2 linked regions of the Rattus norvegicus genome follow. The main gene of each other region encodes a partner of the protein of the gene in region 2 in a complex. Links are inferred from orthologs where the notes say so. Each region holds a gene or a part of one and is shown on either strand. Other genes may lie near its edges.

Region 1 (4,242 bases), on a different chromosome or scaffold from region 2:
AAATGAACAAACAAAAACCCAACAACAACACAACAGAACCCCCCAAAACTTCCAGCTCAAGGGGGTAAAGAAACAACGTGGAAAGAGATTATCTAGGAATTCTACTTCAGTTCCTGTTACTGTGACAAACACAGCAAAAAGCAACTTGGGAAAGAAAGGACTTGTTTGACTTTCAGTTTTAGGTTACAACACATTATTTCTGGGGAGTCAAAGCAGGATGTCCACAGTCAAGAGCAGAGGGAATTAAATGCATGGATCCTTGCTTGCTGGCTGGCAGCTAGCTTTCTCTTTTATGCTGTGCAGGAACACCTACCAAGGGAATAGTGCCACCTACAATAGGCCAGGTCTTCCTGTATCAATTAACCATCAGGCCAGTCCCTTCCAGACATGTTAACAGGTCAGCTCAAGGTAGGTAACTCATCAAAACTCTCTTCTTATTGACCAATGAGGTGTTCGCATTTTTTGTTTTTTAGTTATTTTATTATTTTTTTTTTTTTACTTCTACCTTCCTTCCAACCTTTATTTCACTCTGATCCCTTCCAACGCCCCAAACACTAGATATGGGAGAAAGAAGGCTAAAGGGGGAAGCGGTCATAGTCCTCTTTAGACTACTTCCTGCTGATTAGGGCTGTCGAGCTTCTTGGGGCCAGTTCGATCTTCATGTCAGGGTATCTCCAGCTTCCTGTTAACCAACAACAGCAACCAGAAGCGGGGGGTGGGGGAGAGTAGCAGCCTCCCTTCAAGCACCCCTGCCCCTCTCAGGCCTCTGGCATTTATACTCTCTCCAGAGTCCCCAGAATCAAACTATCTGCAGCTGGCAAAGATCACGCCCCTTCCAGTGCATGAGGCAAATCATAATCACCTGCTGGGAAGCAGCCTCTCATCCCACACCTGGGATTAAAACAAAAACATTCACAGAACATAACTGGGTTTTAAAAGAAACCAGGGGCTGGGGATTTAGCTCAGTGGTAGAGCGCTTACCTAGGAAGCACAAGGCCCTGGGTTCGGTCCCCAGCTCCGAAAAAAAGAACCCCCCCCCCCAAAAAAAAAAAAGAAACCAGTCAACAGTAAGGTGACTCAGCGGGTAAGGTAGAGATGCTTGCCACCACAACTTAATGACCTCAGCGGTTCCTGAGATCCACGTGGTGAAAGAGAACCAACCGGCACACGCTGTCCTCTGACCTCCACACGTATGCATCTATGCATGGACAGGTATGCCTCCCCCAAAATAAGCAACAGTGTAATTAAAATATTAACCCGCATACCAAAGAGTCAAGGCTAATGACTTCTTAAACGCAGGCTTACCTGTCATTCAGTCGCTCTAAGAGGTAGGAGCCCAGACCGGAACCTGTCCCCCCAGCAATGGAGTGACACAGCACAAATCCCTGAATGGGGAGAGAAAGAGGCAGTGTCCAGGTATCTCAAAGAGAGACATCAGCCTTGTCTCTGAGGCTCCTTGGAAAGGCTCAGAGACCAAGGAGAGGCTAAGTGACAGCACTGAGATTCTGATTTCCCTGGAACAAGGCAGTGGCTTAGTCACCTTAATGCGTTCTATATGATGTCCCCGAATGGATGCCCAGTTGAATGGCTCCACCGCATCACGTGTTTAAATCCTGCCTGATCTTTTCCCCCAGTCTGTTTCCCTGTGGAACACCCTCACCTCTAGACTGTCACTTCCATCTGCTTCTCGGTCTATGATGTCAAAGATGTCCTCGTGAATTTTCTCGCCCTATATGTAGACATGGGGAAGGGAAAGTCAGGCCAAAGGCTCCTTTCTCAGCACCAAGAACTCCACACTTGGTCTCTGTTGCCATCCTGAAGCTGAGCTTCCCGACTGCAACCTTTCTCAACCCAGAAATGCTACTTTGTGAAAGGATTTACATAAAATTTGCATAACCTTCCAAGTAGTCCCTCTTCTCAACATATCCATTAGTCTCTTTAATAATTGCAAGTCTAGCCTGGACAGATCCCCAGGTTTGTTTGAGCCTTGCCTTATCCCTGGCTAGGATTACCAAGAAAGTCTGGGACTGACACCTGGGAGAATCCCCTGGCCCAGTTGTTGCCAGCCCCTCCTCCATGCTCGGACAGGTAGATGTTCTCTGGGTTGTAGAGCTTGGCATAGGAGGAGTTGAGGATGGAATGGATCACCCGGGGCTCCAGATCCAGCAGCACAGCCCGGGGGATGTAATGCTCATCGTCTGCCTGTCAAAGGGAAGCCAGGATTGGCCCAGGGAGCTAGGATGAGTCAAGTCCCCAACTCTGGTTTCGGCAGGCCCTCCCTCAAGACAGCCATTCTGTTCCCATCTGCCCAGTGACTTTCCCAGCACCATGTGGCTGCCAGTCCCTTCAGGTCTCCAAGGTCCTGGCAAGTTTCTGTGGAGGGGGAGGGGCACCTGGTAGAAAAAGACGTCCTTGCGGTCAGTGCCCTCGGTGGCGAACTCCTCTACGATGCCCTCCGGGCTGATGCCATGCTCAGCACACAGCTGTTTCCAGAATTCGAACCCAACTGGGGGAGGGGGAAAGAGGCCCAAGTCTGCTAGAGCCTTAAGGCCTGAGAACCCCAGGCTCAGAGCCTATTACACTCCAGGAGGTGACCCAAAACGCCTGGGTCTGGAAGATGTCACAGCCCAGGGCTGAGAAGGCAGCTCTTCCCTGAATCATCATGCTCAATAGGAAGGGTGGTCCATGGGAAGGACAAAGGGAATTGATGGGTACCAGGCACTTGAGTGCGGCCCGAGGGATAGAACCAGAGACTAGCGGGGCACAGTGATTGCTTGCTCACTCTGGTTGCCGCACTGGCCCAGCTGCAGGGTGATGATCTCCCGGGGCATCTCCGATCAGACGGGAGCTCGTCTGGCCTGGCCGGGCGGGGGTCACGGCTGAGAGGAACTCCTGCCAGCCAGAGGCGCAGGACATGGGGAACGCGCTGTCCGCCGCTGTTTTGATGCGGGCGCTGTGTCTGCGCGTGTGCAGTGTGGGCTCTCCGCAGCCGGCGGGCGGCAGAGCCCATCCTGGGCATCATTTTCTCTCCTAGCAGTTGCAGCTGGAATTCAGCACAGGCGCAGAGTGAGGCCACGCTTCCTGTCACTATGTGCGCGTGCGCACGGTAACACTTGGCCAGCGGAGGATCCCCAGGGATGTGGGGGAGGAGAGGGAGAAGCGGCCAGGTGGATGCTCCAAGTGTGGGAGTCACCTGCCTACACCTGCCGGATCTGCTAAATTGAGGGGCTATATTTAAGTTGGGGAATTGAACCCATGTCCCCGAGCATGCTAGGCAAGAGCCAAACCACTTAGCTACACATCTAACCCAAGCCAAATTTGTGTGTGTGTGTGTGTGTGTGTGTGTGTGTGTGTGTGTGTGTATTTTTTTTTTTTTTTTTTTTTTTTTTTTGGAGCTGAGGACCAAACCCAGGGCCTTGCGCTTGCTAGGCAAGCGCTCTACCACTGAGCTAAATCCCCAACCCCGTGTGTGTGTGTATTCTTTAATTTTATCTTTTTGTGTATCATGACAGGGTTTCTCCGTGTAGCCTTGGCGATCCTGGAACTCACTCTGTAGACTAGGCTGCCTCGAATACATAGATCTGCTTGCCTTAGCCTCCCAAGTGCTGGGACTAAAAGGGTTCAGCTATTTTCATAGTCTTACACTATGAAAACTATAGAGTTTGTCATCTGGGACCTGGTGTGGTGGCTTGTGCCTTTAATCCCAGCACTTGGCGGGGCAGAGGCAGAGCCCGGAGGATCTTTGTGAGTTCTAGGTCATCCAATCTATTTAATGGATTTCAGGCCAACTGGAGCTACATAGTGAGACCCTGGGTCATAAAATAAATCACCATCTTAGGCTGGCGGGCGTCATAAGGGCCTGTCTGACCAACCTGACAATATCTGAGTTTGATTGTGGGGTCCCCATGATGGAAAGAGAGAATCAAGAACCTACTCCTGGGTTGTCCTTTGACCCCTGTATATGCTTGCTCTTGGAGTATGCAAACTTGCACAGAATAAATAAATATAATTAGAAAGTAGGTCCTGGGCTGGAAAGATGGCTCAGCAGTTAAGAGCACTGACTGCTCTTCCAGAGGTCCTGAGTTCAAATCCCAGCAACCACATGGTGGCTCACAACCATCTGTAATGAGATCTGATGTCCTCTTTTCGTGTGTCTGAAGACAGCGACAGTGTACTCATATAAAATAAGTAAATAAAATCTTTAAAAAAAGAAAAAAAGGGTTGGGGATTTAGCTCAGTGGT
Region 2 (3,810 bases):
CAAGAGAGGAAGAGCCCATGCAGAATCCCAGCACCATCATGATGTTATAAAACTTACATGAAATAGTGAGGTTAAAACTAAGTAAGAGAGCTGGAGAACCCAGGTTCAGTTCCCAGCACCCACACAGTGGCCCACAACTGTCTGTAACTCCAGGTCCTGGGATCCATGCCTTCCTCTGTCCTCTGCACACATGTGTTGCACAGGTATGTGTGCAAGCAAAATATCCACACATATAAAATAAAAATTAAAAACAAAAAAATCCTAAGCAACAGAAGAAAATCCTGAAAATTTACAACTAAATGGAAACAAATCACTAAAGAAATCATAGAGCCTCTTGAAATAGGGGAAAATAAAGCATCCTAAAATAGCCTAACTTCAAAATTCAAGAAACTACCAACAGAAAGTAGGCCCAAAGCTAACAGAAACAATAAGCTGAAGAGACAAAGAGAAAGGAAGGAAGTACTAAAACCAAGACTGAGTTCCTAAGAACATCAGTGGGACTGACAAGCTCTCACTTCCATGAGCGAGGAAAGAGGACAAACCACGGGACCCAGAGATGAAAGTGGAGTTCTCCTGCAACCTTAGAAACCATAACAGCTCTTACTGCATGGCCGCAAACACACACCCTGTTGATGGCAACAGAAATGTACTGGTGGCCAGGATGAACTCTGGAAGCAGAAGTTATGGAAGACCTCAACCGGCATGAAATGAAGCCTTGATGCAGTATCTCCCAGAGAAAAGAGCCCTGACAGACCCTGAATAACTCACACCACTCCCCAACCTGAGGAAGAAAGAGCATCCGTCCACCTACACTCCGTGAGGGGTTGGCCTGATTTGACACTGACATGGACCAAACTCACAGGAAAATTACAAACAGTGTCTCCTGTGAGACCAGACACAAATCTCTTAACAAAATGCTTGCAAGCCAGTGTCCTCTGAAATAGGAAGAACATCCGGTAGGACACCCTCACTGGGCCCTGCTATGTGTTCACTCCAGTGTAGCGGAAGCAAGGTGCCATGATGGTAAACACCACACTCACCTTGAGGTCGTCTTTGAAGGGGTCAGTGTTGGCAGTGCTCATTCTCAGGGCCAGCTCCAACAGAGCCTCCAGGCGTGTGGGCGTAATGTCCTCTACTGGCTTCCTGAGCTCCTCCTCAGTCAGGTCCATGAAGTGCACAAAGAAGTCCCCCTGGTCCATCAGGAAGTAGCGCTTGATGGACCTGTGCCAGGGTTGTTGAACATATAACCTGACCTCTGCCTTCAACATACAAGGAAGAGGTTTGAGACATGGAGCTGCTCTGCTCAGACACGGAAGGGGAGGGACTGACAGCAAGGAGCTGAGAGACCTGTTGGCTTGCATGGTCTGAGAACTAGAGAACGGAAACCCTGCCACCTCACACTGGGGCTGCAGGGAGCCCTTATAGAGATAAAAATGTAGTTGCTAAGAGGAACATTCTACTTTCAGCCCCTTGGATACAAAGTGAAGTCCAACCTCAGGTGGGCCACCAGCTCCTTCTCCTCCATGAGGAAGTCCAGCAGCACTTTGCTGGCATAATTGAACGCTTTCTCAATCTGCTCCACATATGCCCGCTCTTTGAGGGTATAGATGATCTCTTTGGCTACGGGACAGGTGACATCATGACCACATTCTCTGACCACATTTAGGTATTTTCCTGAGAACAAAAAGAAAAAGGAAGGTGGACTCAGTATCCCTGTACATGCTGAGTCTCAGGCCTGGGCCTTTATGACGCCAATCAAACATGGGGAAGTAGGCCAGACATGAGGTACAATTTGTTTCCTGGAAAGATTGTGCAATAGTTTTTCAGGTCTGTATTTTATAGGAAGGATTTTGAAAAGCCTTGAGAGATAGATTGCTAAGTAATCTCCTAGCCCTTTCTGATTCTGTTCAGCTTTCAGAGCAGAGCACTATGTTAAGGCCCCAAGGATTTGCCTAATCTCTACATCAGTCCCTATCCTGTGCAATAAAACTAAAAGATGCAGCTGGCCTGGAAGGTGTGGGTTCCTCATGGCTTTTCTTTGCTATATGATGGAGTTAGATGTAAAACCCAAGATAGAAGGCTTTGTCTGAGGCAGACAGCGTCCTGATTAGGGGGCTGAATAAAGTGATGGAGAACTAGGGCCAACCAGTGGCTAGAAGCTCAGGGTAGTAGGCCATTCCCAGCTAAGTCATCTTCAGGGGCAGAGGGCCTGGAAGGCTGTGATGACCCACGGGTCCCATGACACAGCATGAAGAGGCCATTGACCTCCTTGGAGAGCGGTCCAAGCATAGTCACCTGTGCTGAGGATCTTGCCTGCTACCTTCTGCAGGAAGGATGGGATCTGCTGTGGCAGCACAGTGTAGCGCTGGTCCCAGTACTTGTCATTGTAGTCCTCCTGTATCTTCTCCTTCCGCAGCTCGTGCTCCTCCACCATGAACTCACTGGAAGTCACAGTGTTTCAGGCCACTACAGGACAAGCCTGGACAACCTCGGGGTGGTCACATACTTCCAGCCTTACTTGGGAGCAGGAGTCTAATTTGCAGAGCTGGGTGGCTTCTTCCCTACTCTTGCATTATGGCAACAGGACAGACATATGGCTTGTCCTGGGTACACAGGTTTATCAACAACAGAATCAGACCCTCCCACAGAGCTTCAAGAACCATTTACCTGTGGCCAGAAGGAAACCGCGTCCCCTACTAGGCCCATCACACCAAATTCTCCTGTTTGGCCCCTCCATAAAGAAACACAAGGCCCACCCTACGGTAGAGCACACGCAAGGCCTGGGCTTCACACGCAAGGCCTGGGCTTCACACGCAAGGCCTGGGCTTCCTTCATCCCCAGTTCTCTATCAACTGGTCATTTGCTTTACATAATCAAAGGCATCATGCTCAAGTGACACACTATTCAACCACGTGGAAGCAGTAAGGACGTGGGCTCCAGAGTTAATACCAGTGTTCCTCATTCAACAGACAAAGCTGCAAGGCAGTGAGTGAGTGACACACGCTCCTCAGCTCACAGCCATTGTGTTGATGTTGAGGACTTGTGTCTGGCACCCGCAGAGCCTACTGCACCGTGAGCGTCCAAGTGAAAGGTGTCTGGCACCCGCAGAGCCTACCTGTATGGGTCGTGAATGACGCCTCTGTAGATCCACTCCTCCAGGATCTCAAAGTAAGGAGCGCTGGCCGCCTTGGTCAGATAGAGGCACAGCTCCTGCGCCTGGCTGTCCCCTGTGTAGTTGAAGCTCCTATCATGGAGAAGGCTCAGCGTCGACCCGCCAACACACTCGCCTTTATCCACGGAGGTGGCTGTGGGCAGAAAGGGGTGGCTCACTACCCAGACATCTAAGCACCCCTGGTGGATAGGAGCCCCAGCAAGCCAGGTACCATGTTCCGATGCCAAGGCTACAGTTGCTAATAAGACTGATCAAGAAAAGCCTCCAGGCCTAGCACGGTGGCACACGCCCAAACCTCAGCACTTGGGAGGCTGAAGCAAGGCGACTGCAAGTAAGAGGCCAGTGCGGACTGTACAACTGAGTTCGCTAACTAGTCTAGAACACAGAAGAGGACCTTGTTTCAACAACAAGAGAAAGGAAATGCACTGGAGCCTTCCTTATATAGGTCACTAAAACAAGATGTGACAAGAACTTTGCCTTGCCACCATGCCACCAGAGAGCGTTATGAATGACCAGCCCCAGACAGAATGGCCCTGCCATGCCTTAGGGAGCCCTCCACCTGCCAGCAGGTCCGCACCAAGGGAGGCCAGGATGTCAATGGTACGCATGGCTGGCTGGATGTAGAACCAGAGCTTCTG

The links.
Region 1: Tubgcp2 (region 2) and Tubg2 share a complex: the UniProt entries of both Homo sapiens proteins name them as parts of the gamma-tubulin ring complex. The link is inferred for Rattus norvegicus from reciprocal best matches to the Homo sapiens genes TUBGCP2 and TUBG2.

What each region holds. Positions count from the first base shown.
Region 1 is NC_086028.1:86,590,304-86,594,545, reverse strand, and holds the start of Tubg2 (tubulin gamma-2 chain), read right to left. Parts: upstream 2,937-4,242; 5' UTR 2,832-2,936; coding exon 2,783-2,831; intron 2,507-2,782; coding exon 2,394-2,506; intron 2,203-2,393; coding exon 2,035-2,202; coding exon of another isoform or gene 2,013-2,034; intron 1,730-2,012; coding exon 1,661-1,729; intron 1,386-1,660; coding exon 1,306-1,385; intron 1-1,305. UniProt on the Homo sapiens protein: Tubulin is the major constituent of microtubules, protein filaments consisting of alpha- and beta-tubulin heterodimers. Gamma-tubulin is a key component of the gamma-tubulin ring complex (gTuRC) which mediates microtubule nucleation.
Region 2 is NC_086019.1:204,228,822-204,232,631, forward strand, and holds part of Tubgcp2 (gamma-tubulin complex component 2), read right to left. Parts: coding exon 3,750-3,810; intron 3,306-3,749; coding exon 3,116-3,305; intron 2,442-3,115; coding exon 2,296-2,441; intron 1,675-2,295; coding exon 1,494-1,674; intron 1,222-1,493; coding exon 1,041-1,221; intron 1-1,040. UniProt on the Homo sapiens protein: Component of the gamma-tubulin ring complex (gTuRC) which mediates microtubule nucleation.